Linked DNA regions of Oryza sativa Japonica Group. The protein of the gene in region 1 interacts with the protein of each later gene in a pairwise test. Links are inferred from orthologs where the notes say so. Each region holds a gene or a part of one and is shown in the gene's direction. Other genes may lie near its edges. The genes, in order: putative protein Brevis radix-like 3; probable protein phosphatase 2C 37; uncharacterized protein At1g76070; alpha-glucan water dikinase, chloroplastic; B3 domain-containing protein Os03g0120900; cBL-interacting protein kinase 9; sm-like protein LSM2.

What was found.
Region 2: the proteins of putative protein Brevis radix-like 3 (region 1) and probable protein phosphatase 2C 37 interact in binary tests that used the Arabidopsis thaliana proteins (3 or more experiments, as listed by UniProt). The link is inferred for Oryza sativa Japonica Group from reciprocal best matches to the Arabidopsis thaliana genes BRX and AHG1.
Region 3: the proteins of putative protein Brevis radix-like 3 (region 1) and uncharacterized protein At1g76070 interact in binary tests that used the Arabidopsis thaliana proteins (3 or more experiments, as listed by UniProt). The link is inferred for Oryza sativa Japonica Group from reciprocal best matches to the Arabidopsis thaliana genes BRX and AT1G76070.
Region 4: the proteins of putative protein Brevis radix-like 3 (region 1) and alpha-glucan water dikinase, chloroplastic interact in binary tests that used the Arabidopsis thaliana proteins (3 or more experiments, as listed by UniProt). The link is inferred for Oryza sativa Japonica Group from reciprocal best matches to the Arabidopsis thaliana genes BRX and SEX1.
Region 5: the proteins of putative protein Brevis radix-like 3 (region 1) and B3 domain-containing protein Os03g0120900 interact in binary tests that used the Arabidopsis thaliana proteins (3 or more experiments, as listed by UniProt). The link is inferred for Oryza sativa Japonica Group from reciprocal best matches to the Arabidopsis thaliana genes BRX and NGA1.
Region 6: the proteins of putative protein Brevis radix-like 3 (region 1) and cBL-interacting protein kinase 9 interact in binary tests that used the Arabidopsis thaliana proteins (3 or more experiments, as listed by UniProt). The link is inferred for Oryza sativa Japonica Group from reciprocal best matches to the Arabidopsis thaliana genes BRX and CIPK9.
Region 7: the proteins of putative protein Brevis radix-like 3 (region 1) and sm-like protein LSM2 interact in binary tests that used the Arabidopsis thaliana proteins (3 or more experiments, as listed by UniProt). The link is inferred for Oryza sativa Japonica Group from reciprocal best matches to the Arabidopsis thaliana genes BRX and LSM2.

What each region holds. Positions count from the first base shown.
Region 1 is NC_089038.1:30,809,023-30,813,229, reverse strand, and holds the start of putative protein Brevis radix-like 3, read left to right. Parts: upstream 1-1,407; 5' UTR 1,408-1,814; intron 1,815-2,091; 5' UTR 2,092-2,239; intron 2,240-3,855; 5' UTR 3,856-3,964; coding exon 3,965-4,069; intron 4,070-4,207. UniProt on the Arabidopsis thaliana protein: Acts as a regulator of cell proliferation and elongation in the root and shoot. Regulates roots architecture and primary root protophloem differentiation.
Region 2 is NC_089038.1:4,739,910-4,744,027, reverse strand, and holds the start of probable protein phosphatase 2C 37, read left to right. Parts: upstream 1-1,318; 5' UTR 1,319-1,344; coding exon 1,345-1,818; intron 1,819-2,177; coding exon 2,178-2,543; intron 2,544-3,924; coding exon 3,925-4,030; intron 4,031-4,118. UniProt on the Arabidopsis thaliana protein: Negative regulator of abscisic acid (ABA) responses during seed germination.
Region 3 is NC_089043.1:25,826,729-25,829,603, forward strand, and holds uncharacterized protein At1g76070, read left to right. Parts: upstream 1-1,358; 5' UTR 1,359-1,414; coding exon 1,415-2,179; 3' UTR 2,180-2,375; downstream 2,376-2,875.
Region 4 is NC_089040.1:18,341,712-18,345,211, forward strand, and holds part of alpha-glucan water dikinase, chloroplastic, read left to right. Parts: intron 1-358; coding exon 359-450; intron 451-532; coding exon 533-667; intron 668-904; coding exon 905-1,067; intron 1,068-1,155; coding exon 1,156-1,245; intron 1,246-1,330; coding exon 1,331-1,516; intron 1,517-2,462; coding exon 2,463-2,525; intron 2,526-2,601; coding exon 2,602-2,664; intron 2,665-2,745; coding exon 2,746-2,805; intron 2,806-3,020; coding exon 3,021-3,173; intron 3,174-3,292; coding exon 3,293-3,376; intron 3,377-3,500. UniProt on the Arabidopsis thaliana protein: Mediates the incorporation of phosphate into starch-like alpha-glucan, mostly at the C-6 position of glucose units. Acts as an overall regulator of starch mobilization.
Region 5 is NC_089037.1:1,158,955-1,163,076, forward strand, and holds B3 domain-containing protein Os03g0120900, read left to right. Parts: upstream 1-1,358; 5' UTR 1,359-2,128; coding exon 2,129-3,064; 3' UTR 3,065-3,069; exon of another isoform or gene 3,070-3,156; 3' UTR 3,157-3,622; downstream 3,623-4,122. UniProt on the Arabidopsis thaliana protein: Regulates lateral organ growth. Functionally redundant with NGA2, NGA3 and NGA4.
Region 6 is NC_089037.1:1,524,333-1,528,608, reverse strand, and holds the start of cBL-interacting protein kinase 9, read left to right. Parts: upstream 1-1,476; 5' UTR 1,477-1,826; coding exon 1,827-2,039; intron 2,040-2,767; coding exon 2,768-2,830; intron 2,831-2,941; coding exon 2,942-3,013; intron 3,014-3,201; coding exon 3,202-3,309; intron 3,310-3,400; coding exon 3,401-3,481; intron 3,482-3,715; coding exon 3,716-3,769; intron 3,770-3,850; coding exon 3,851-3,976; intron 3,977-4,062; coding exon 4,063-4,152; intron 4,153-4,276. UniProt on the Arabidopsis thaliana protein: CIPK serine-threonine protein kinases interact with CBL proteins. Binding of a CBL protein to the regulatory NAF domain of CIPK protein lead to the activation of the kinase in a calcium-dependent manner. Involved in K(+) homeostasis under low-K(+) stress.
Region 7 is NC_089042.1:3,159,069-3,163,009, forward strand, and holds the start of sm-like protein LSM2, read left to right. Parts: upstream 1-1,141; 5' UTR 1,142-1,289; intron 1,290-1,535; 5' UTR 1,536-1,574; coding exon 1,575-1,577; intron 1,578-1,706; coding exon 1,707-1,865; intron 1,866-2,493; exon of another isoform or gene 2,494-2,635; intron 2,636-3,941. UniProt on the Arabidopsis thaliana protein: Component of LSM protein complexes, which are involved in RNA processing. Component of the cytoplasmic LSM1-LSM7 complex which is involved in mRNA degradation by promoting decapping and leading to accurate 5'-3' mRNA decay.

The sequences.
Region 1 (4,207 bases):
ATGACTTAGAGACTTGAGGCAGACACGATCACCCACGTGGCCTAACTCCCTCGGGGGGGGGGGGGGGGCGGGCCCGAGGGTGATACGGCTGCCCTTCTCTTTGTCTCCCCAAGGGGTCGGGCCGCTCCCGTCTCGGCCCCGAGGGCCGAAGCGCCCCGACCCCTTGTGGGTTTTGCGCCACGTATATGGGGTAGGTGAGCATGGCGGGGCTCACCTAACCACATTTATTGCAGTTTTGACGAGCGCGTCACGCCGCCTGTATCGCAGTACAGCACGCTCGTTTATCCGGTCTGTGACCAGTCACAGACCGGTCAGATCATGGGTTAGGTGGCGACAGGCGGTCTGACGCACGCCTCGCCCCATCCCGTCAGGACGAGAGCCTCCAAGCACTCGTCCCTAGCTGGAGCCGGCGTGTTAGCTCCTGGAGATGGCACGTTGGTTCCGGTCAGATATATGCCAGGCTTCATCCTAACCATTACAGGCAAGATATTGTATGAAGAAGGGCGAACATGCAGATTGTTAAACTGACACGTGGTGGACAAGAATGACCGATTTGTGACCGGTCTGACAATGGTCAAGTCATCAGCAGACAGCCATCTTCCCACGTCGCGCCTGCCTCCGGCGGAAGTGGAGGTAGGTATGGGCCGTCCCATCAGAAGGTCATTCGGACGGCGGCGATGCAAATCTCCGTCTGTTAATGAAGAGAAGTCAAATTGGAAGAAAGAGAGGGGGAGATGGTGCATGTGGTATCCCCTTAAGATATAAAAGGAGGACCTTGCCCACTTAGAGGGGGGATGATTGGACTTTTCCAGATTGGGAACCCAGAACAAGAGAGAGGCTGGCTCATACTTTGTAGCTCCTTCATACACAGATCCTCCAAAACACAGGAGTAGGGTATTACGCTTCTCAGCGGCCCGAACCTGTATACATCGCCGGCGTCTTGTGTGTTTCCTGTCTCGCGAACCTTCCACAAATTGGGAGCTTAGAGTCTCACCCAGGGTCCCCGGCCGAACCGGCAAAAGGGGACCAGCGCGGTCTCCCGGTGAGGAGCCCCACGCTCCGTCAGTCGCTATGGGCTACTCGCCTATTGGGCTTGCAAGCACACGCTGACGTACTTTGCGCCATCAAGATCGGACGGTCCTCGATCATGACAAAGCCCCGTCAGCATATGCATCACATCGCACGGTCCTGATCGCGCCACGGCAGCACGTTCGTCATCGCCACGGTCCGTGCCGGGGCCCGGGCCTTCGCGGGCCCCGCAGCGAATCACCGTAGGTGGGGCCCAGCCCAGGACCAGGGAGATGACCACACGCCGCGCAGGATCGGACGGCCGCGATCTCGCGGGGACCGCCGCGTGTCCCGTGGGGGAGGGACTATATATGGGCCGGAAACGAGACGGCTTGCACTGCCTGTGCACTCGGCGCCCTCTCGTCGTATATGGGGGAAGGATCCGACGGCCCAGCGCGACGCCCGCAGTGTTCTCTCCCTCCCCACCTCGATCTCTCTCTCTCGCTTCGTGGCTCTTCTCTCCTGCGACTGCGAGAGGAATCTCCCACTCAGTCCCAGATTGTTTCTGTGCGGCGACAGCGTCGCTGCGTAGCTTCTGATATCTTTGCCGCCGCTGTGTTTGGCGCCATTGACGCAGCCGCATCCACTCCTCGACCAGACAAGGGAGGCCTTTCTCTCTGTGCTATCTCCAAAGGCTTCTGAGTCGATTCAGAGGCAGAGCTCGAAACCGAAAGGGCGGCGAAGGTGAAGCCGACCGGCGGGCTGCAAATTGCGCTCGTTCGCTCACCGGCGACGTGGAGGAGAAGGTAATGGTGGTGACGGCGACGCACGCAACCAGCTTGCTTGATGCTTCGTCTTATCTTTGCTTTGCTTTTTTTTTGTGTGTGTGTGTGTTGAGTTACACTTTTTCTATGTTTTGTTTTCTCGTCTTGCATGCCGTTTCTTACCCTGTTCTGTTCACCAGAAAGTCAAAGTCCGTTTATCTTGGTGTCAAAAATAAAAGGCCGTTTCTCCTTGCATCCCGCTCTCGCTTCTAGGCGTATACATATTTATTTTGGCACATTTTTGTCTGCATCATTTCAGGCGCCGGAGAGAGAGGAAGAGGAGGCGGAGCAACCCGGTCAGCGCGCGCGTAGGTGGTTTGGGTACGCACACTGTTTACACGGCGAGCAAACTCGGAGGAGAGAGAGAGCTGTGGCTAACGTAGCTATCTGGGGGCCGTCAGTTACCTGTAAGCATCATCTCATCACTCTCACTGTGCCTCTCATTTCTCTCTCCCTCTACAGCAACATTAATTAATTACTAGCTGATACTACTACTGTACAAAAGAAATTACTACCACCGGCCAAAAGAAAACACACACAATACCGTGTTTAAGGTTATCACGTCGTGTTTCTATTAAAAAAGCGCAAAAGATAATCAGCAAAAACCCTACCGGGCTCCACAATGCAGTCACTCGATAGCCGGTCGCTTTAGCCGGGGCCCATATTTTTCTCGGTAGGGATGGAGCAGGAGGAAAAAAAAAATAAAGTCCAGGCAGTACGTTGATCTGGGGGAGGGCGTGGGGCCCCAGCTGCAGTGACTGTAGCTGATACACATCTGAGCGGCTCCCTGCCTCGTCCACCGAGCTACTGCTGTTGGTGTCGTTTGGAGTCTTCCCCATACGCCCCTGCCTACCTCGCGTGGGTAGCTGCGCCTCATCTGCATGAACACTGTGCACAACACATACACAAACGGGCGGAGCTAGCTAGCCATAGCACACTGGTGGTTAATAAATTTCCATGTGCGCGTAAACATCAGAAGCTTCCCTGCCGCAATGTAGCTGACCGTATTTTACTACTACAACCTGCTTTTCAGTTTTGATTTACTAGTAGTATATGTGTGTGTGTCATGTGGCATGGCGATTAAAGAATCTCTGTGCCTGTGCCCGTCGATCGATCTGCTTTGCCCCGCGTAGCGTTTCTTCCACTGTGTTAGAGCAGCCTGCGAATGCATGCCATGCATGCAGGAGTAGCTGTGAACGACTGTGATGCTGCCATTGGCATGGGTCTTGCTTGCTTTGTTATGCTGGTGCTATACTTTTTTGTCGCTGCAGGCTCCAGTGCTCCACTGCACCAGCTAGCCAGCCAGCTTGCCCCGTTTTGACGCCGGTGGCGAATTGAAGCTCCAGAGACCAGAGTCCCTAGCTATAGCTATCTCTCGTACATACGCATGCTTGCATTGCTCTCTGTTGCTCAACGAGCCGGAAGGACAGCTCCTCCGACGCACACGCATGCGCACGTGTGCGTGGTCACGGACCGGCCGGATAGCTCTGTGCTCGCATAGTGTACCGGATGTCGTGTTCGCGTGCTTACATGTGAGATGCAAGGATGGCATGGCACGTCTGGTCCAAATGGTGTGTGGTACTAGAATGGCGTCACACACCGGCTTGGAAACCGCTTTACGTTATTACAGTACATTGTAGATTGTGGCTATGGCTAGAGGATACTAGACTGATAGTGTCACTGTTGATACTTGATAGGAGTACGTACTTTCGGCGTGTATTTATTTTGGTCGTACATACGTGTGCGTGGATACACGAAATCTCGCACTCGTTTAATTATCATGGAAATGTGTACTATACATGTACTAAGTGTACTATTGCCATGCGAACAACGACAAAGTTTGACCATCTCATGGATAGACATTCTATCACATGCATGCATGCAACTGTAGCCGTGGGCTGTAGTGTCTACATGACGGCATGTCTGATCAAACTTGATCTTTCGTTACAGCGGCTTCAATTCTGATAGATAGCCGTACTGTGGTAGTACTATATATGTAACGCTAATGCACACACTTTTGCAGTTCGATACACAAGGTGAGATTGTGGGGGGAGCGATTGACTACTGATTGATCCGTCTCGTCGTCGTCGATCGAGGAGAGGGAGGCAGATAGGGAGAGGGGGTCAGAGAAGATGCTGGCATGCATCGCGTGCTCCTCCAAGGAAGGCGGGGAGGACGGGTCCCGTGGCGCGGCCACGCCTCACGGCAGAGATGCCGTCAAGTCCCTCACCTCACAGGTACCCGTCTGTCCCTTCTTCTTCTTCGTCTTGATCTAAACTTCTTCTCGTACATGCTACTCCTGGATCGAATTTACACCTGCTACTTTGCCATCAGTACTGCAGTATATAGAGTGTACTACTACATGCTACTAGCTC
Region 2 (4,118 bases), about 26 Mb from region 1:
GTTGGGGACGGTGATGCCGGATCTACGGCTAGAGGCCATGGGAGGAGCGGATCCACCGGCGGCGCCCTTGGGAGGGGTAGATCCATCGCCGAGGAGGTCGGGGATGGTGGATCCAGCGTTGTGGAGGTTGGGAACAACGTCTAGGTGCATGCATAACATGTGGTAGTTTAAAAACATTTAACCATATCTTCTCATTAATATGCGATGCAAAGACGTGTGAGATGAGGCGACATAATGATAGAGGCAAGTTTATAAGGTGATCTCTTCTTCCACCTCCTTCGTATACTATACTCCACAAACTTGTGAATGGTTCCTTCCTCTTCATTGTTTGGCATCGCACTTGTAATGCCTATCTCACTATCAACACCTCCGGTGATCTCGTTATCAATGAGAAGAGAGGAAAGAAGGGAAGATTATTGCTCACCCGTCCTACCATGTTATAGAGGTAAAATTACTTTGATTTTTTTTACTCTTTAGTAGATGTGTTTAAAATAGTTTTGATCCCTCTTTTGGTTGATCTCCTCGCCGGTAGCTGCCCCTTCCTCCTCCATCCTTCAGGAACCACCGTGCTGGAGATGGATAACACCTTTAGTATAGGTAAGAGATGAAATCCTACAAATGCACCTGAAAAATGAGTTACACTAAGAAATATAGCCTGGCCACCATCCAAATTTATCACGTGCTCCCACATATAGAAGGATTCTAGAAGCTAATTAGGGGCAAAAAAAAAGATTTTTTTTCTTTCTCCCGTCATTTTGTTTTGGTGGTATCACCGACCTTTGTTTCCCATTATTCAATACAAATGATGCAAGTTCTAATCCCAGCCAGAGTCAAAAGCTTTCAGCCTCACCTTCTCGGTTATGTTTATCAGTCAGGATTTAAATTTTTAGCTTTAGATTTGAAGTTGATTTTAGGACCTTTTATCATAGTTTATTTTCCAATCTTTATTTAGAACATTAAAAATACATATATAAAATTTTAATTTACAAATTATTTTATATTTGTAAATATATCATTTCGTCTTTTCTCTAATATGTCAAAGGATGGGGCTCTTTTGGTTTGTTTGGTAGTTGGGTGGTGATGTAGCAGCAGCAGGGGCCGGCCAAACCGGGCTCGGGGAGGGCGAAAACCAGGGAAGAGAGGCGCGCAGCCAAACCGCCCGACGGCGCGCGCACCACGCGCCCCCCGCAGTCCCCGGACACGTGTCACCCCCTCGCCACGTCGCGTCCATGCGGGCCCCACCCCCCACCCCCCACGGAAACCACCTCCCCCCAACCCCAACCCCTCTTCTTCTACCTCCCTCCTCCTCTTCCCTCTCCTCCTCCTCCCTTCCCATGATCGGTGATGGTGATGGCTAGCGCCGGCGTCAACATGCCGGGTGGCGATGGGGACCACCCCCCCGCGGCCGCCCAGGAATGCCACCGCCTGCGCAGGCGCCGCTACGTCCCCGCCGCCGCCGCCGCGTCCGAGGACGGGGACAACAGCAGCAACGGTGGGGGCGAGAAGAGGAGCCTCCCGGCCTCCTCCGCGTCGCCGTCCCCGTCCCCGACCTCGTCGGCGGCTTCCTCCGACTGCTCGTCCGACCGCGACGACGACGGGTGCTCCTCCACCGCCGGCGCCGCGGCGCGGCGGCTCCCGCTCCCGTCCGGGGCGTCGACGGCGGCCGCGGTGTGGCCCGTCGCGTTCGGGTCCGTCTCGCTCGCGGGGCGGATGCGCGACATGGAGGACGCCGTCTCGCTCCGGCCCTCCTTCTGCACCTGGCTCGACGGCTCGCCGATGCACTTCTTCGCCGTCTTCGACGGCCATGGCGGCCCCCATGTACGTCGCCCCCCCGCTAATCCTTTGCTTAATCCCATCATTATTTCATGCTAATCCTACTCATCATAATCTTGGGTTAGAAAGAAAAAAAAAACAGAGAGAGAGAGAGAGAAAAAGAGATAGAGATTGGATTGATTGATTGCGAAAATGCTGCTGTTGTGTTGTACCGCATTGCACTGTTTGATCCACCTGGCAATGTTCTAGCACCATCGAAACCGAGGTCGACACGTTTTTTTTTTATAAAATTTGTCGTTTAATTTTCGTTTTTGGTTTTTACTACCACTGCTCGATCAGTGACGTGTGTTTGTTTGGTTTTCTCTTTTTTTTGGTGTGATCGATGGACAAAAAAAAAAAAGCAGGTGTCCGCGCTGTGCCGGGAGCAAATGCACGTGATCGTGGCGGAGGAGATGGTGGCGGAGGCGGCGGCGCTGCGGCAGCGGCAACCGGCGGCGATGGAGGAGGAGGAGGAGGAGAGGGCGTGGCGGGCGGCGCTGTCGCGGAGCTTCGGCCGGGTGGACGCGCTGGCGGCGGTGGCGTGCGCGTGCGGGCGCGCCACCGTGCCGGCGTGCCGGTGCCCGCTGTCGGGGCAGACGGGCGCCATCATCGGCTCCACCGCCGTCGTCGCCCTCCTCGTCCGCGACCGCCTCGTCGTCTCCAACTGCGGCGACTCCCGCGCCGTCCTCTGCCGCGCCGGCGACCCCCTCCCCCTCTCCTCCGACCACAAGGTAATCAGCCCTTCCATTCCTACGTGGCACCCTCCTCACACGCACACGTGTCCCTCACACCACGGCTTTGACCGTACCTGCCAAAATATTCCAAGTCTCGCGCTGCCGTTTACCGTTGACTCCTGCGGGGGGTGGGCCCCAGCCGAGGTGTCGCCTCTCCGGAACCTTCGCGGCCGCGGCTGCCTCGCCGGCGACGCGTGGTTGGCCGCCGGCGACCGGAGAAAAAGAGAGAGGTCGCTCTCGCTTGTCGGAGAGACATGGATCGCCTCGCCTTGCCGTGCTCGCCGACGTGGACCCCGCTAGCGTCATCACAAAAAAGATTATCACCTCGTATTAAAAAATAATAATAAAAAAAATAATTACTAGTATCTTTTTTTCTTCTCTTATTATGGTCTGTTTTTGTTTTGGCCCTCTCATTAATGCGAGTAGAAAGGGCAGTGGCAATTTGGAGAATTTGTGGGAACCTCGGGGGTGGCTGCGGAGGGGCGCGGCCCACGTGGTGTTGGGCGGGGGAGGGGGGGGGGATTCCGAAGTGTTTTAGGTGGTGTTTAGATCCAGGGACTTAACTTTAGTTCCTGTCTTTAGACACTAATTTAGAGTATTAAATATAGACTACTTACAAAACTAATTACATAAATAAAAGCTAATTCACGAGACAAATTTTTTAAGACTAATTAATCTATAATTAGAGAATGTTTACTGTAGCATCACATAGGCTAATCATGGATTAATTAGGCTCATTAGATTCGTCTCGCAAATTAGTCCAAGATTATGGATGAGTTTTATTAATAGTCTACGTTTAATATTTATAATTAATTTTCAAACATCCGATGTGATAGGGACTTGAAAGTTTTAGTCCCATCTATACAGGGCCTTAATCCATCGCTTTCCTGGAGGGGGACACGTGTTGCTCTCGCGCGGGGCACGTGGGGGGATAAGACTGGTCAGAGTGTGGGGCCAGCTGCTTTGCTGCTGTCTGGTGGGGCCCACGTGAGCAGTGAGAGGGGGTTGGCCGCCACCTCTGCCACCTGTCCCTGCTCCTGTGTACTGTGAAGTTGCTGTCCCTTTGCCTCTTTTTTTTTCTTTTTTTCTTTTTTATTTTTGCTCTTCCTGAGATGGATTGTGGACCCACACTGGTCAGAGCTTCCTTTTCTGTGGAAAGGGGGAAAAAAGAAGGGGAAAATTGGCTGGGTGTGGTTGGCTGTGGTAGGTCCATGAGGGGGGTAGGAGATGGGGGCAGTGGTTGGTGCGACAATATTCGTGCTGGATGTGGTAGTGTGATTAACCTAATCTTGCTCTTGTATCTTGCTAATCATAAGTGTGATCTTGCTGCTGACGAACCTAGATTACATGGTACTATAATTGACGGTGAATTATGCAGCCGGACCGGCCGGACGAGAAGGCGCGGATCGAGGCGGTGGGTGGCCGGGTGGTGTACCTCAACGGGCCGAGGGTGCGTGGCATCCTCGCCATGTCGCGAGCATTAGGTAATGTCATCGTCATCATCATTGATCTAAATTCTGTCTGCAGGCACTATCTTTGTGTGTTGTGTTTGCTACTCTGCTGTAGAAGAAC
Region 3 (2,875 bases), on another chromosome or scaffold:
TGCTCTCATCGGTAAAGTTTTTTTTTTAAAAAAAATACTTGCTTTATTGCCTATTGAAATACTCTCTTCGTTCCAAAAAAAAAAGACAACTTAGAAGAGAGTACGTATGTTGTCTTTTTTTAAGATAGAGGAAGTACGTAGTAACTAAGATGTCGTTCTGCAGGAGAAAACAACCCAGCGAACATTCATACGCAGCATTACTTTCAAGCTGATTCTCTCAGTTACTACTAATCATATTGATTTTTTTTCTTTTAAAAAGAAGGAACTGGTAAAGTTTACTAATTCTAGGATTGATGAATCATGAAGTCAAATCACACATTGCATTTTTTCAACAGGTAGAGTCAATTTTTATTACGTATGCCATACAGAAAATTCAGAGTTCCATACATATACTTGTGGGTGGACGTACGCTAGCGAGTAGTATTCAAACTGGACGGGTGTACTATAGGATTTACATAGAACGACCACTGGTTCTTTTTTATACGAAACATATATATGTTCGCTGGACTAATCCAGCACAATGGGGCCCGCGGGGTATTTTAATACGTGTGACTGTGTCTCAGTCAGTCAAACCCAAGAAAAATGAAAAACGTTTTCATCGTTTTCCCGGTGAATTAAAAAATCGTATTGCCCTCCGCAAACGAGAGAACACAATCGATCCCCACGCGTCGACGACGCCACCGACACCGTCCGTCAGGCCGTCGCATACGGATCACTTGCATTGCAGCACGTACGCCAACCAAGTCGTCGATCGGCCGTGGTCACGGCCACCGCCGGAAACTCCGCGGCCCTGCACCCGCACCTGCGCCCGCGCGTACGTTTGACGCGACGAGGAAACTCTCTTGCGCGCGCACCAACCGTGGCCGCAGGTCGCATCCAATCCACAGCCGCGGTGCGCGGCCGCTGCGGCTAACCAGTCCAAAGTCTCGTCGCGCATGCAGCAACCAGGTCTCGCGTTTCATTTCCAAACGCAAGCAAACGGCCCGTTCAACCGAACGTACGCCGCGTCGGATCGACCGGTGCAGAGACCGCGTCCCGCCCAGGAAAAACCCAACGCACGCCCAACCCCCCACCACACCACTGCTCGCTGTCACCGCCTGCCTCGCGCCCGCGCGCGCGCTGGTTGGTTGATTGATAGCTGTGTTTCGCCGTGAATTCAATACCCGCTCCTCGCTTTGACCACGCACGCACACGCGAACACACGACAACGCACGCGAGTTGTTATTATTAGTCGCGGCAGCTAGCCATCCCATCACAATCTACTCGTATAATCGCATTCATTCACCAACCCTAAACATAATCATCTCATGCCCCTCTGCCTGTGGTATATAACCCAAACTAAAGCCGCCTAAAGCTACATCGATCTGCACACGACAAGAGAACCAAAGACACAATCCGTACGCACGCACACATCATGCCAATGGAGAAGAAGCACAGGCACGCGAGGTCCAGGAGCTTCAGCGGCGGCGCCATCGTCTCCTTCCTCAAGAGCACGGCGGCATCCTTCACGGCGACCACCACCACGGCCTCCGCGCCGCCGCCGCCGCACGGCAGGTCGTCGTTCAACCACCGCAACGCCTTCTCGGGGCCCATCGTCTCCATCGTCCCGCCGGAGGCGCGCGGCGGCGGCGGCGGCAGCCGCCGGGAGCACCGCTCCGGGTACCGGACGCCCGAGCCGTCGTCGCCCAAGGTCTCCTGCATCGGCCAGATCAAGAAGGCCAACGCCAAGAAGGTCAAGGCGAGCTGCAAGAACGGCGCGTGCCCGCTCCCGCCCCGGCCGCCGGCCGACGCCGCCGCCGCGCGTAGGCAGAAGAGCTCGCTCGTCAGGAGGATGCTCTTCCGCCGCAGCAGGTCGCGGAAGGCGTCATCGTCGTCGTCGAGGGACGGCGGCTTCTTCAAGGGGAGGACGGCCGGGCGCGCCGGCGCCGCCGTGGCTGCGGCGCCGGCACCGGCGGGGCTCGGGCAGATGAAGCGGTTCACCAGCGGCCGCGCGGCGTTCGAGGACTTCGACTGGAGGGAGGCGGAGAGGATGGCGAGTGACGACGACGACGACGTGCTCGTCGCGCACTCGGCGCCGCTCGTGCTCGGCGGCGGCCTGGTGGCGTCGGAGCCGAGGAAGGAGGTGAACCTCTGGAGCCGGCGACCCATGGCTCCTCCCACTCCGCTTCGACTTCCATAGATGACGTCAGCGTGCATGAGCTTTTGCATGCGTGTTCATCGATCTGTTCGTCCATTTCTAGGCCCAAATGCGAGCGTATTCCCATTCCAATGTAATTTTTTGATTTTTTTTTGTTCTTGGAGTAATTTGTACAGTCATATACTTCACACGAAACTGATCAAAAGTACATCGATAGTTGTTTTTTCTTCTCCTTAAATTTTAGATGTGATGCTTTTGTTTAGAAAAGAAGATACAACGAAAGAGAACAAAATAATTAAAAAAAGGTTGTTAGATGAAAACAACTTGTTGTTTTGATAAGTATATGAATGGATTTCGTGTAAGATGAGTCTTGGAATATGCTTGACAACTCAGAATTCATAATTGTTGGATTGAGTCCGAAAACGGAAGCTACAGGATTTTGACTTATTAGTGCCTGGAATTGTCACGAGTTCAACTTTTCTAATTAATGTTCTGCTTAATTTCTCCGCACATTTTCTCTGAAAATCCGGCCTCCATCGAGCGTGCAGTTACGACTTGTGAAAAATAAGTTCGGTCAGCACAAGCCAGCCAGTGCTGACAAGAGCCAAGCCAACCATTAATAAATGTCCGAATGATGATTTTTCAATGGTTAATTAAGTGGTGCAGGACTTAATTTTAAAAAGCTCCGTACAAGAGTGAATTGCTCATCAAGTGGTCTGAAAAAATTCGGATCGAATT
Region 4 (3,500 bases), on another chromosome or scaffold:
AATAAGAAATTTATATAGATACAATGAGAGACCGGGATTTATTCCAGGCTGGGAACTAATTTACTCATGATATGGACAATAAGAGACCGGGAATCAATCCACTAGTCAAGAGGTGTAGAACTAATCTGAATGTTTTGTTGTCCCTATCATGAGTAAATTGGTTCCCGATCTGGAATAAATCCCGGTCTCTTATTACATCTATCATAAATTTGTTACTATACTTCTCATTCCCGGCCCGGATTGAATCCAGATGTAACCAAACAAGGCCTTAAAAATTTTCAATGTCAAATAAGAATATCTAAATAATTGTGGTAAAAATCACTTACTAATAAACTGTTGAATATATTCGTAATTAAAGGATACTGGTGATGCTGGTAAAGGCACTGCTAAGGCCTTGCTTGAAAGAATAGCAGATCTAGAGGAAGATGCCCAACGATCTCTTATGCACAGGTCAGGTGACACAATATCTATTACTTGTATGACTTGTTCTGTGTGTTAAAAAAATCCCTGAACTACCTTTATTCCTCTACAGATTCAATATTGCAGCAGATCTAGTTGACCAAGCAAGAGATAATGGATTATTGGGTATTATTGGAATTTTTGTTTGGATTAGGTTCATGGCTACAAGGCAACTAATATGGAACAAGAACTACAATGTGAAGCCACGGTAGATACTTGTTTCATATTCTTCAGTGAATTTTCTCTCTGTGCAAAAAGAAATCAAATTAACTACATAAGTACTTTTTTCTTGTGATGGGAATAAAAACCTTCTAGTCCTAATAAAGCATAACAGGAAAAAAAATAGAATGCTGTTTAGCAGACTGAACCTATTCTATTTGCATATCACACAAACATGACTTTGTTGCATCTTCTTTAACATCCATAATGATCTACAACTATGCAGTGAGATAAGCAAAGCACAAGATAGGTTTACAGATGATCTTGAGAATATGTACAGAACTTACCCACAATATCAGGAGATCTTAAGAATGATAATGTCTGCTGTTGGTCGGGGAGGTGAAGGTGATGTTGGTCAACGCATTCGTGATGAGATATTAGTAATCCAGGTAAATTAATGTTCCTAGGTGAATATCAACTTGTTTGTTGATCAACTTGAACTATACAACAATAAATACTAGTTGGTTGGTATTGTAGAGAAATAATGACTGCAAAGGTGGAATGATGGAGGAGTGGCACCAGAAACTGCACAACAATACAAGCCCAGATGATGTAGTGATCTGCCAGGTAATTGACATGCAGATATTTAATGCCATACAGATTTCAGCATTGGGGTTTTGATATTTATGGACTTGTGTCTCTTCATGGGTAGGCCCTACTTGATTATATCAAGAGTGATTTTGATATTGGTGTTTACTGGGACACCTTGAAAAAAGATGGTATAACAAAAGAGCGTCTATTGAGCTATGATCGACCGATTCATTCAGAGCCAAATTTCAGGAGTGAACAGAAAGATGGCTTACTCCGTGACTTGGGCAATTATATGAGAAGCCTCAAGGTATGTCAAACATCTGGCGTAGATAATTGAGATATCTATGCAGTATCTTTACGATTTTACGTAAATTTTTGCTTTTGCAAAGGCCTTATTTTGCTTTGTAGTTAAGAAATATTACAAGATCTACCCTAAACAATATACTGCTAATCACATATGCTGAAAGGTGGCATTCTCTGGTAACAGTACATGTTATTATGTCCCATATGTGCTGAATAAGGGTCGAAAGATTAGGATAAAGGCTAGATTGCTCTCGTTGGTACTGAGCTTGTCCTGATATTAAGAGACTCTGGTCAAGCTAAACCTAACTTTATGTTTCTTTTTTGCTTAATTGATAATGTTTCGCTTTGGTCCGTTTTAGATGGAGGGTACCCTGATACAATCACTGCGAATGGTAACATGCTCCTTAAGAGTAAAATCTGCATAATTGACATCTCCAGTGAAATCCCATTTCTATTATTATTTTAGGGAATTGCGGCAGGAATAGAAATTTATCTCTTTGCCTTCATGTATGGGAATCTTAAGGAAATGAAACAAAAATATCACACTATAGTTTCTACGTTTCATATAGTTTACCAATCATTCTCTTGAATCGTCTCCATTATCCAGCACCCCTATTACTAGCATTGTTAATAAAAGGCAAGTGTTAACATCAAACTACTCCATCCAACCAAATTTACCAGGCGTACACATTCCAAGATTCAAACTTTGTAAGTTTGACCAATAATTAGGCTAATTATATATACATTTAGTGATATAAAAAGGTACCACTAGATTTGTATTTCATTCTAAGATTGCAAGATTCATTTGTATGTTTTGACCAACAATTAAATGGTGCCGCTAGATCTGTATTGCAAGTATATTGTCTTGGTCTTCTAATTAGAAAATTTGTCATTTTCATAATTATACTTTGATTCAATAGTATTGTACATTTCTACTTCTGTTTTCTTAGGCAGTGCATTCTGGTGCTGATCTTGAATCTGCTATAGCAACTTGCATGGGATACAAATCAGAGGTACCATTCTCATGTCTGTTATACTGTGAAAGTTTCATTTGGTTATATATGATGTAATTGTTTCTTTGGGATACAGGGTGAAGGTTTCATGGTTGGTGTTCAGATTAATCCAGTGAAGGGTTTGCCATCTGGATTTCCTGTAAAACATCCTTGCCTTCTTTTTTTTAAAAAAAACACATTTATCATAATTAAAAGCTCATAATATTCATTACTTCAACAGAAATTGCTTGAATTTGTACTTGACCATGTTGAGGATAAATCAGCAGAACCACTTCTTGAGGTGAGCAATACTAAACCCAGGCATGTTTGCAATATTTGGTGCCATGTCCACGGGTTTACCTCCGTTCCATTATCTAAAAAAATAAAGAAAAACAAAATTACAAGACAATACTTAGATTTCTTATAAATGACTGATAGCTGACCTGCCTAATCCATCTGGTCTTTGCAACTTCCATATGCATCCTTTGTTGCCAATGTTGAAATGCTACCTTGCAGGGGTTATTGGAGGCTCGAGCTGAACTACACCCTTTGCTCCTTGGCTCTCCTGAACGCATGAAGGATCTTATCTTTTTAGACATTGCTCTTGATTCTACTTTCAGGACAGCAGTTGAAAGATCATATGAGGAGCTCAATAATGTAGAACCAGAGGTTGGTTAACACAGGATGTTGCTATAGGTTACATTATGGCATGTGTTTGTCTCACATTGTATCTTGTCTTTTTGACGATTCAAATGTATTAAGTCATGTTCCTGTTTTATCTAATCCAGAAAATTATGTACTTCATCAGTCTTGTCCTTGAAAATCTTGCTTTATCCACCGACGACAATGAAGATATCCTATATTGCTTAAAGGTACAACTGTTCTGTTTTTTTCCATGTTATGTACACAATTGTTTAGAGAAATTTACCTTAGTTGTTCCATTTTCCTAATAAAAGATACGAATAGTGGCAGAGCACAACATAACTATTTATGTAT
Region 5 (4,122 bases), on another chromosome or scaffold:
ATCTGGATGTATACATATTGATATTTTAATTAGTTTGGCAACAATATCTGCAATTTTAGGTAGGTACGTTTTAGTAGTACGTACTACCCTGCAATCATGTACAGCTAGGAGTAGGAGATGCTGCAGATTTGCAGTACAATCACCTTGAATTTATATATGGAGAAATGGAAGAACGACGACGTGCAGTTTTCAGAGTCAGAAATGTGTGCAGATTGCAACAAATTAAGGTAGAGTGGTTCAGACTGAGCATGAGTGATAAGAACCAGGCAACTAAGATTTAACATAATAATATAAGCAGCCCATACAGTTGCCAGAATGGGACCTTTTAATTTGTTCTATCGGAATTCCACTAAAACTAAACAAGAAGTATATGCATTAATTAATTTATTCTTAACCTGAAAATGCACGTGGTGACATTTAAAACGAAAAAAAAAAACTTGCTAACTGAATTAAAGTGTATGGTCGGCATAACTCTGAAAAGAACACATGCATAACATAACTTCCAAGTTCCTATACTGCTTAAGTGCTTATGTCATATGTACATACTACTATCAAAAGTAATCTAACCTAGAATGAACAATCCAAACTCTAGAAGAGCAATATTGCAAAAGTTTTAGTTGACATATAAAGATTTTTAATATATACTTCCAACTGAACCTGTAGATTGGAATGTTAGAGTATCAGCCCCATTGTATCTGCAAACAAATAATAATTTTTGAATAAAACTTTTATATATGTGTTCTTAAGGATCTAAAACCAAAGGCTGAAAAATAAACTTCGATGAAAAAACCCCAAAATCAACTCTAAATTTAAGGTTGAAAATTCAAATTTTGGCTGATAAGCATAAGCATAAGCGAAAAGATGAGGCCATATATATGGAAGTTGGAGATATATTACGATATGATTGATTTGCGTGGACTCATTCCTTATACCTTACTGTGTAACTCCTATATATATACCGCCACCGGCCATCTTAGACTCAATACAACGTGTGTATCTCTCTCCCTCTACTATTCAACATGGAATACACAAGTAAACCGACGGCACAAATACTTGGTACATTCGCACACATATAATATCTGCATAAAATACAGTTATAAGTTACCTACCAATAAGAAGAGATGTGCATGTTGAAAATTTGCAGCCTACAACTGGCATTTTGGGGGGTTCATCACCTGCCTAACTCACATAAAGGCTCCCTATAGCATGAGAAGGACAAGCTCACATGAGCTCAACCAGATAATTCGTGGGCCCCACACTCCTCTCACAATCCCTACCATCTCTTTCCCTCTCCTCCCCCACTCCTCCTATCCCTCTCTCTCATCTCTTCACCCTTTAAAAAGCAAGCTAGTGTATTGTGCCCACCCTTGCCCTCCTAGGCTACACCTCACCCTCCCTCTCTGATACACATGCATACATACACAAAGATACATAAATACATATATACATATACATGTGTACTATACCTACAACAACACACATCTGCTCCACACTAGTATATAGCTACTAGGTAAGTAGCTAGGCCAATTACCTTTGGTTGCAAGCCAAAAGTAAGTATCCATCCTCATCCTTTTCCTCCTCCCACCAAGAACCTTCATAGTACCACCACCACCACCACTCATCACATCTCACACTCATTGCCTCTTTCTTCTTCCTCCCCATCTAGCTCTAGCCCCTCTCTTGTTCAAACACCTTCATCTGAATCTCTTGAGCCTGAATTTTCCCAACACAAGCAAGCACTACAATTGAGCTAAGCTATAGCACACACACACACACACAAACCCTGAATTCCCACTTCCTAAGTTCCTATAGCTAAGCATATAGTAGCCACAAGGAGCTAGCTAATTCTTATTAGCTATAGCTCCAGATCCCTCACAATTCTAAATTTCCAATCCCAAAAGACCCAATTAAACAAGAGATAGTTGCCTCCTAATCCATATAATAAGCCCTCAAATTAACTAGTAGCCATATACTATCAATAGTAACAAGGCAGCACAAGCAGCATACCATAAGCATACATCGGGTCAAAGCCGAGGTCAAGTCCACCGGCAGGAGGACAAGCCGGCGGCCGGAGCCCAGAGGAGGAGCTGAGGCATCATCGATCGATCGATCGGCATAGTGCACGTACATGGAGTTCATCACGCCAATCGTGAGGCCGGCATCGGCGGCGGCGGGCGGCGGCGAGGTGCAGGAGAGTGGTGGGAGGAGCTTGGCGGCGGTGGAGAAGGAGCACATGTTCGACAAGGTGGTGACGCCGAGCGACGTGGGGAAGCTGAACCGGCTGGTGATCCCGAAGCAGCACGCGGAGAAGTACTTCCCGCTGGACGCGGCGTCCAACGAGAAGGGGCTCCTGCTCAGCTTCGAGGACCGCACGGGGAAGCCATGGCGGTTCCGCTACTCCTACTGGAACAGCAGCCAGAGCTACGTGATGACCAAGGGGTGGAGCCGCTTCGTCAAGGAGAAGCGACTCGACGCCGGGGACACCGTCTCCTTCGGCCGCGGCGTCGGCGAGGCCGCGCGCGGGAGGCTCTTCATCGACTGGCGCCGCCGCCCCGACGTCGTCGCCGCGCTCCAGCCGCCCACGCACCGCTTCGCCCACCACCTCCCTTCCTCCATCCCCTTCGCTCCCTGGGCGCACCACCACGGACACGGAGCCGCCGCCGCCGCCGCCGCCGCCGCCGGCGCCAGGTTTCTCCTGCCTCCCTCCTCGACTCCCATCTACGACCACCACCGCCGACACGCCCACGCCGTCGGGTACGACGCGTACGCCGCGGCCACCAGCAGGCAGGTGCTGTTCTACCGGCCGTTGCCGCCGCAGCAGCAGCATCATCCCGCGGTGGTGCTGGAGTCGGTGCCGGTGCGCATGACGGCGGGGCACGCGGAGCCGCCGTCGGCTCCGTCGAAGCGAGTTCGGCTGTTCGGGGTGAACCTCGACTGCGCGAATTCCGAACAAGACCACGCCGGCGTGGTCGGGAAGACGGCGCCGCCGCCGCTGCCATCGCCGCCGTCATCATCGTCATCTTCCTCCGGGAAAGCGAGGTGCTCCTTGAACCTTGACTTGTGAAGAGGGTACGGCCGTACACGTACACGATCTCTGCTACTTTATGCTTCAATTCTGCTACTACGTACTGACACAAATGGAAATCGTCGACGAAGAGTGTGACCGGAGAAGTAAACAAAGGCGGCGATGGCGGCGCGCAGCGGCGGCGGTGGCGGCGGAGGTGGAGGCGCTTGGAGCATCTAGCGCCTTCGTATTTCGTATATAGCTCATCATCTCTCTTAAATTAGTCAGTGCAGTGTGAGGGGGAACAGTTTAAGAAAAAAGAACGAAGCAGCAACGTACCCAAAAAAAATATTCTTTCTAGGTTGATGGTTTTTTCTTGCTTCGATTTGCTTTGCCTTTTTCTCTTGTGCTTAATTATAATTAAGTTTTCTTAGCTGCTCGATCTCTTCTTTGTGTCTGGGAGAAAATATATACTACTGGTACTAGTGATTAGGGGAAGAAGAAGGAGAAGAAAATATAATTGTTTCCAAGAACTCCAGCCCAATTGTATATATCATGACTGAGCCTATGGAAACACCGGTGTGTGATCCTCACATATGATAACAATCAATTTGCACTGATGGTACGAGTTTATATATGTACACTTGTTATATATACATACTGGTGATGAGCTAGCTATAGCTAATGGAGATTGTTACATTGGAGAGCCCGTACTCTACGCATCATGTATACTGGGCACATGGATTGTTCTTGGTGCTGCCGTTGTTTGTGCAGGTCAATTGGGCTCTCCTTCCAAGGCATCAGCAACAGCAGCTATAGCTAGCTAAGCTGTGATGAAGAGAAGAGAAGAGAAGAGAAGAGAGGAGAAGAGAGGAGAAGAGGCCTTTAAAATGTGGGGAGCGAGCCAGCCTGCAGGCCAGCTATCAAGCTAGGACAGGCAGTTATTGGAGGGCTGCAGGTCAGATCCTAAATCCTTCTCCTACACATGCATATTACAGTCTCTCACTCCTCTCTCACTCCATATGTATATATGCATCCCTAGCTATACATCTTTCTCTCTCCCTCTGCACATCACTGCTCCGTTCTTGATTTGGTTTGCGCATTTGTCTCTTGTGCTA
Region 6 (4,276 bases), on another chromosome or scaffold:
GCGCGCATGTATCGTATGGTCTGGAGACGACGATCCTTTTCTTCTCATGGGCTGGGCTTCTTTCACTCGTCGACAGAGAGCATCATGGGCCAGCCCACCGTTGTTTTTGTAAGGCGAGAGCGAGAGAGAGAGAGAGAGAGAGAGAGAGAGAGAGAGAGTCCGGTTTCAGGGCCTGTTTGTCAACTGGGCCTGAAAGAATTGGGCCAGGTTTCTCGCCAGATTATGGGCTCCCAAACAGAGGGTTTTGGGTTTATGACATTTCTTCTGCTGCTAACCTGCCACGTTGGGAGCTGAATATCTACGAACTACGTCAAAATGTATAAAATCGCGGTTTTAATTTTTCTTTTCAGAAATCTCTTAGCATAGCCTTCTTAAAATAGAAAACTAAGCATTTTCTATCTAGCACGATTCTACTTTCTTCTAACTCGCGGTTAGGAGTGTTTCTGCGACAACCATCAAGTATAACTCGACAAAAATCACCGGCCATGGAGCTCATCGAAGTACGTATCCTCCTGGAATCGAAATCCCACAAGCTGACAACGCAAACAAAGTCGCACGTGGAACTCTCACTCCAGAACAACAGTGCTGTCCCCGTCACAATAATCTCGCCGTCTACTTCCAAAGTCACGAAAGCTGCTGCAGTATCAACCACTAACACAAGAGTTGCAATCACAATTCTCTCCAAATGTAATGTGACGGTTACGATTTCAAATCAGCAATCACACACAGGTCGATCGGTCACGCCCCCTGTCGTGGTAATGCCTTGATGGCGGCGAGGAAAAAGATTTGAGAGAATGTGGTGTGCAGTGCAGGCAGCGACGACGAACGGGACATGGCACGAGGCGCTAGTGGTGGTGTGGTGCCCCCGCGTGACGCCGCAGGATAAGGCTCTCGGCCCCATCGCGGCATCAATCATGCATTCACGCTGCTACTGGCCTACTGCTATTGCTATTGCTATTGCTAGCCGCTTGCTGATTCGTGGCGCACCGCTTCCGACCGCGACCACATCAGGCAAGGTTAATTGCGTGCATGATTGCTGGAAAAACAACACAGCAAACGGCATACAGTAGCAAGATCACACACGTTCGTTTTTGTCGTCGTCGCGGTCGCGGTGAATTGTTCAGAGGAGAGCCAGAGTTTGTTCAGGGGAGGACGTGTGGAGCACGGATGGATCAGCGCGTCGTTTTCAACGGAGGAATGATTGAGAGTACGGCACCGTACGGGTGCTCCTTCGAGGAAGGTGCAAAGCACGCATGTTCAGGGTTACTACTAGCTCGTTGCCTGTCGCTGTGGCCACGGTGGTGGACGACGGCGAGATTTTCCCTACTCCAGCGTAAAGAAAACCGAAAGGAGCGATCTCCAAGTGGCAACACGTAAAATCTCGCCCCACATTTGGATTTATCCATCCGAGGAGGAGCCACGGTTAAATGCCGCGTTCGCGCGTGCTCGTTACGTACGCGTGTTGCTTTCGAGTTTGATTAATCGTTTTTTTTGCCGGGGTGGTGGTGGGATTGGGATAGAGTTCGGGCCACTGCCTGTGAAAACTGTGAATCGCGTCGCGTTGCACACGGCCAAAACGATAGCGCGCGCACGCACGCACGCATCCGTGCCGCACGCCGCGCGCCGCCTACGTCTCGTCCCACGCGGTTCCCGACCGGACCCCACACCACACCTGCCACCAACGCATCTCCGCCTTATTTGAGGCGCGCGCACGGGGCGCCCAAGCCATCCAGCCTGCGTGCGACCTACCAACGCGCGCACTCCTCGATCCCATCATCGGAAGGCGGCGAGGCGCGCGGTGGAGGATTGATCTGCGGGAGGGATTGATGGCGGAGGCGGAGGCGGAGGCGGCGGGGGCGGGGGCGGGGGCGGGGCCGGCGAGGAGGACGACGAGGGTGGGGCGCTACGAGCTCGGCAAGACGATCGGGGAGGGGAGCTTCGCCAAGGTCAAGGTCGCCCGCGACACGCGCACCGGCGACACCCTCGCCATCAAGGTGCTCGACCGCAACCATGTGCTTCGCCACAAGATGGTCGAGCAGGTCCGCCGCCTTAATCATCCTCAAAATTGAATATTTATCTCTTTTTTTAGACATCAGGTAATAACAAGTTGGATCTTTTCTCGGAGGGGATCGAATTAAGAATCCTAAATTATTCTAGATAGATGCTAGATTATTATAAAAGATGGATTTTCATGGGGATTAATAAACATTAAACGAGAATATGCGCTTACTACGTCTCTACCATTGTCAAGATTCTGTCTGTTTGGATTGTTTGTGATTGAAGAAAGGTCATGTGTCCGCCTGTCCAGCGGGCTAAATCTGCTCTGATCTAAAGGAAATTAGATGGAATTGTATCAAGTTTGAATCGGAAATGTAACAACAGATTATCAAGCTGGGCCATGTAACTATAACAATATCTCCGATGCGGTGATGCCAACCCTGTCTTAATCAAATGCTTTCTGCCTAGCAAAAAGCTGTGCTAGCTTTGGTGTTCGTAGGAGTGGCAAGAGTTGTTCTAGATTCATTTTTTTTTCTCGGGGAGTTATAAATTCAGTCTGACTGGGGGGAAACTCGGGTATTGTACATTCCGTGCTAGATCACTCATTGGTTGATGCATTGTTTGGTGGAAAAACTAGTATTTTTTTTGGTTAAATATGTGATTTTCCATATGATGTGTTGGCACAATTAAATGTCCCTGCTCGAGCTGTTCTGTTTTCCAGCTTGAGCTTTCGATTGTGAATGATAACCTCATATTCCACTTCTATCAGATCAAACGGGAGATTTCCACAATGAAGCTAATAAAACATCCAAATGTGGTCCAGTTGCATGAGGTACTTTGCTATCTTTGCAGGAACAATAGCGTCATTACCACTCATACCCTTCTTTTTTTTTTTATCTCATCTCATTCAATGAGAATTTTACATTCAATGTGTGTTTGACAGGTCATGGCTAGCAAATCAAAGATATACATGGTTCTTGAATATGTTGATGGAGGCGAGCTTTTTGATAAGATTGTAAGGCCCATGAACTTTCTGTGCCAGATATCACGATTCTTATTTTTGTTTATGTACAAATTGCTTTTACATGCTGTAAGAGTAGCTTGTTGAACCGGCACATTTGACTGTTTTGATACTGACTGACTAATCCGCAGTTCTTGGACCATACAAGTTGACCCATTTATCATCATGTTATTATCAACTAGGTCAATTCTGGGAGACTAGGAGAAGATGAAGCAAGAAGATACTTCCATCAACTTATAAATGCAGTAGATTATTGCCACAGCAGAGGAGTGTACCATAGAGATCTGAAGGTTTGTTGAATTATCCTGCTTACCTCCTTTCTGGGTAATCTCCACTGGGATGGATGTATTCTCATTCATATTTTTTATGTGCCATTTGCAGCCAGAGAATCTGCTTCTTGATTCACATGGAGCTCTTAAAGTTTCAGATTTTGGCCTTAGTGCGTTTGCTCCACAAACAAAAGTATGATATCTAGCTAGTACCCAGAAGTATGTTTTTGTAGTTGTTAAAAAATTAACCAGTTTCTTTATCCTAATGTGATGTGTTTGGGTTTTCTAGCATTTTTCTGGTTTAATTGACTTGTTCCTTAACTTGCACTATTACCTCAAATGAACTTCGGACGCATAATTATTTGTTTTGGTGACAAGAAAGTTGAAAGAAGTAACTTTGGTAAACTATTTTGATTGTTTTATTTAGGAGGATGGACTTCTGCATACTGCTTGCGGAACACCAAATTATGTTGCACCTGAGGTGATTCATGTTGCCTTTGATTAAACTCGTGTATTTTCTCCAAAAAGATGTAAGAATCATATATTCATACTGTTCCCTCAGGTGCTTGCTGATAAAGGTTATGATGGTATGGCTGCTGATGTATGGTCCTGCGGCATAATCTTATTTGTCCTCATGGCTGGATATTTACCTTTCGATGACCCCAACCTAATGACCCTTTACAAACTGGTAAGTATGTGTAACATGCACGCATTCTAATGTTTCTTGTGAATTTCATTGGTAAACTTGATAGACTTTTGATGTTCTCTTCACAGATCTGCAAGGCAAAAGTTTCTTGTCCACATTGGTTTTCTTCAGGTGCGAAGAAGTTCATTAAGCGCATACTTGATCCTAATCCCTGCACAGTAAGTGACAATTAAGGACATATATCTTCAGCTAACCAGTTTGACCAGCTGACTGCTGCTAGTCCAATGAGTTTCATTGTATATCCTCTTTGAAGCCTTTTATGATGGCAATTTGAGAGAAGTC
Region 7 (3,941 bases), on another chromosome or scaffold:
GTCTTGAACGAGTCTTTGTCCAACGTGGCGCTTACGTGGCATTAGAATAAAAACAAAAAAAACATGTGGGACCCATATGCCATTCACACAAAAAGTGAGACCCACTGACATGTGGGACCCACATGTCATCCTCCCCCCCTCTCTCTCCTCTCTCCCTCCCTTATCTCTCTCTCATGGTGGCAGTGGCCAATGGGGACGAGGCGGAGGGGAGCGGTGGCGGCGGTGACGGCGGTGGGGAGCGACGGCGGTGGCGGTGGGGACGAGGCGGAGGGGAGCGGCGACGGTAGCGGTCGGGAGGAGGAGGAGAAGGCGGAAGAGGTGGTTTACGGGGACGATTGTGGCGGAGGAGAGCAGAGGAGGAGGATGAGGAGGAGGAGGAGGGCGTGCTTCGTGCTTCAGGGAGGAGCTCGTGCCGCTGCCGCCGCGCTAGCCAGCCGCCGGTGACGCTGACTCCGACCCCCCACGGGGGCGGCTCCCCTCTCATACCCCTTCCTCCCTCCTAGTGGCCGCGGGCCATAGCCGCGTTCTCCACCGCCACCGTCGCCGCTCCCCACCACCTCGTCCTCACCGTCATCGCTGGCGCTGCCTGCCACCACCGCCACCAACGCTCCCCTCCGCCTCGTCCCCATCGGCCACTGCCACCACCGCCGCTCCTGAGTCCCGAGAGAGAGAGATAGGAGGAAGAAGGGAAGGAGAGGGAGGATGACATGTGGTCTCTCATGTCAGTGAGTCCCACTTTTTTGTGTGAATGACATATGGGTCCCACATATTTTTTTTGTTTTTATTCTAATGCCACGTAAGCGCCACATTTTTTAATTTTGTTTTTGTTCTAATGCCACGTAAGCGCCATGTTGGATAAAGACTCGGTCAAGACCGCCACGTCAGCCAAAACCACTTCCAAAACCACCGAGGGATATTGTTTATTTGTTTGCACCGGTTTTAATAGTTGGAAGTTGGAGGACATGAATCATACTCGGGTGATAGTTGAGGGAGTCAGAGTATACTTTTTTCCTAATAAATAAAGCTATATGGGCCTTTCACCCTAACCCGGCCCATAATAATATGGTTTGGTCCTATCTCATACCCAACACCCAACCCAACCCAACCCAACTCCTCCTCCTCCGCCTTCTCGCGCTCTTCTAGGGTTTTGCCTCCTCCCGATCCGGCTGCCGCGCTTCCATCTCCGGCGGTCCGGTCTATCCTCTCCGCTCCTTGCGCCTGCGCCGATCTCCATCTCGCTACCAGGGGAGGGGGAGAGGCGCTCGCCGCCGTCGTCCTGCTGCTTCTTGGTGAGCATCCGCATCCTCTTTTCTCATTCATCTCCCTCTCTCTCTCCAACCCACCCGCTTTTGTGTCCAATTTGCTTGCCTGCGTTAACTGTATCTTCTCTTCTAGATCTGGGAGAAGCTGATTTTCTCTTAATTTGATAGCCTTAAACCTTAATAATAGGACTAGAAGTTTTGTTTTTATTTGCCCCTCAAAAATGTTTGGGGATCCCGTCCACTGGGTGCTAATCCTGCCTCTTGCGTCTGCAGATTCTTCGGAGCTAAGGCGGGGAGGGTTCTGCGGCCAGTATGGTAGAATATTTTTTTTAGTTTTTTTTGTTCAACTGCTCGTTGATTTCTTCTCTTCCCACTTCATTTTTTTTGTTCTGTTAGTTTGTGTTGATTTTTATTTTTTGTTCTGTTGATTTGGTTGCTGTGCAGCTGTTCTTCTCCTACTTCAAGGAGCTCGTGGGGAAGGAGGTGACGGTGGAGCTCAAGAACGACCTGGCCATCCGCGGCACGCTCCACTCCGTCGACCAATACCTCAACATCAAGCTCGAGAACACTCGGGTTGTCGACCAGGACAAGTACCCGCACATGGTATGCGATGCGATGCGATGCTGCTCTGGTTATCTATCTATCTGTCTGTCTCTGTCCTGGTGAAATATGGATAGCAATTAGCCGCTTGTTTGCATGGGTACTTCTGTAGATATATTGACTCTGCAGCAAACACAGTGTTTCTTGGTTCTTTACGGTGGTCTTCTGTAGATATATTGACTCTGTATGCTTTGTTCTCTGTTCAAGATAGATTTAGGAAGTTTTCATGGTTTTGTACTTCAATATGCATGTGCGTTTGTGCATTTGCTATGGTTTTTCAGTTGATTAATTATTCACTTCTTTTTACCGTGTTTACACATTTTTCTATTCCAAATTAGCTTGAACAACACACATGTACATGTGGCAACTCAGTCAATTTGATAAGGTCAAAATGGTCAAATAGGACTATAACATTTTTTGTAATTACTATTATGTACTACCTCCGTCTTGAAATGTAACTACTTTTGGCTGTGAATGTGGACAAGTACTTGTCCAGAGTCATAACCAAAAGTAGCTATATTTTGACTTAGTAGTATTGAAGAACTTCAAGGGGCTATTCATTAAAATGTAGTTCATGGAGGTGGGGTCGCACTGCCTTCTTTCAAAAGGATTTATACATAGATATTGGTTCATGCACGGTGCTAACCCCGGGCTTGTCAGAATACTATCCTCTGAAGGAGCCCCAATGCCTGTGCTACATCTTCCATGCCATTCAGTGTTGCAGATCATGATGCTTCTTGTGATTGGTCTGTGTCAGATTAATGGATACATTCAAAATCACCTCATTCTACATGATTTCAGATTTCTTCTCTTCTGTTTGCATAGCATGTACTTGTCATCTGTTGATTTATTAATCTGTTAAAGGAGTACCTTTAGCATGATCCTTACATGTTTAGTTAGTGCTGAATGCTGTATCACAATTCAGAATGGTTGCACGTCTGACATGTAGTTGCATAAGTAAAAGAAGTACGATATGGATATGGATCAGGTAACACTCTCCGTTAGTAACTAGGAGCTCCGTCAGTTGGCCAAGAGCTGACTATATCCAAAAATTGATTTGTGGGTAAACTTTTATATGTCTTCTTAGCAACTTAAAAGCCAATGTTGAAAAAGAAACTAAGTTGAAAATACCCTAAAATCAACTCCAAAAAAAAAGTTCTAAAATTCAAATTATGGCAGCAGCTGATTCTTCTTTGGGCATACAGTGAGGCCCAAAATGTCAGTTATAGGATCCCAGTATCCCACAACCAAGAGTATGCATAAGGAAGATAATAATAACCATCTTTATAAACCATAGTAGATATTACTCTTCATTAGATCACTTGTTACTCTCTGTTGTTTTGGGCATGGGCCAGGCCCATGCAGCAGTTTAGGCATGATAATTTAGGAATAGTCAAATAAAGATAGGAGAGTATCTAGTTAGGAAAGAGATGATGTTTATTAGAAAGTTATAGATAGATATTGGATTGGTTTCTGTAGTACTAGAGATTAGTTCCTTGGATGTCAAGTCTATCCTCCTATATATAAAGGGACCCCATATACCCTATAATCAATTAATATCTGAAGTTAGCGCTAAGCCTTAGAGTTCTAATCAATGAGTCTTTCAGCTCAGCAGGGAGAAGTCCTGCCGCTGCTATTAGAGGGCGAGTGCCCTATCCCCTGGTCTTCAGACCCTTACCTTAGCCAATCCATAACACAGTGGTGTGTTGACTCCAATCAATGGTTCTGTAGTAAATGTCCTGAAGTAGTCACCAGCTAATGATAAAAGGCGGTATGTCTAAATGTTTGTAGAACAAACTTTGGGCTACATTGACATGAATTTAGGAATTAATGGGGAGTAGATCATATAGTGGTATACCTAGTTCGTGACATGCCTTACTGGTGCAGAATTAGGAGCTTAAGATGCACTGGTAATTCCAGTGCAAATACTGTTGTAACCAGGCAAGCACATTACTTGACAGGGACAACCAGTATCCGTACCTAGATATTTATTTGGCCTTCAGTTCCATCCAATGATATTGTATGAAGGGTGTACTTTTGTACTGCATAGGTTACTAAAGATTGCTTGTTAGTTGTTAC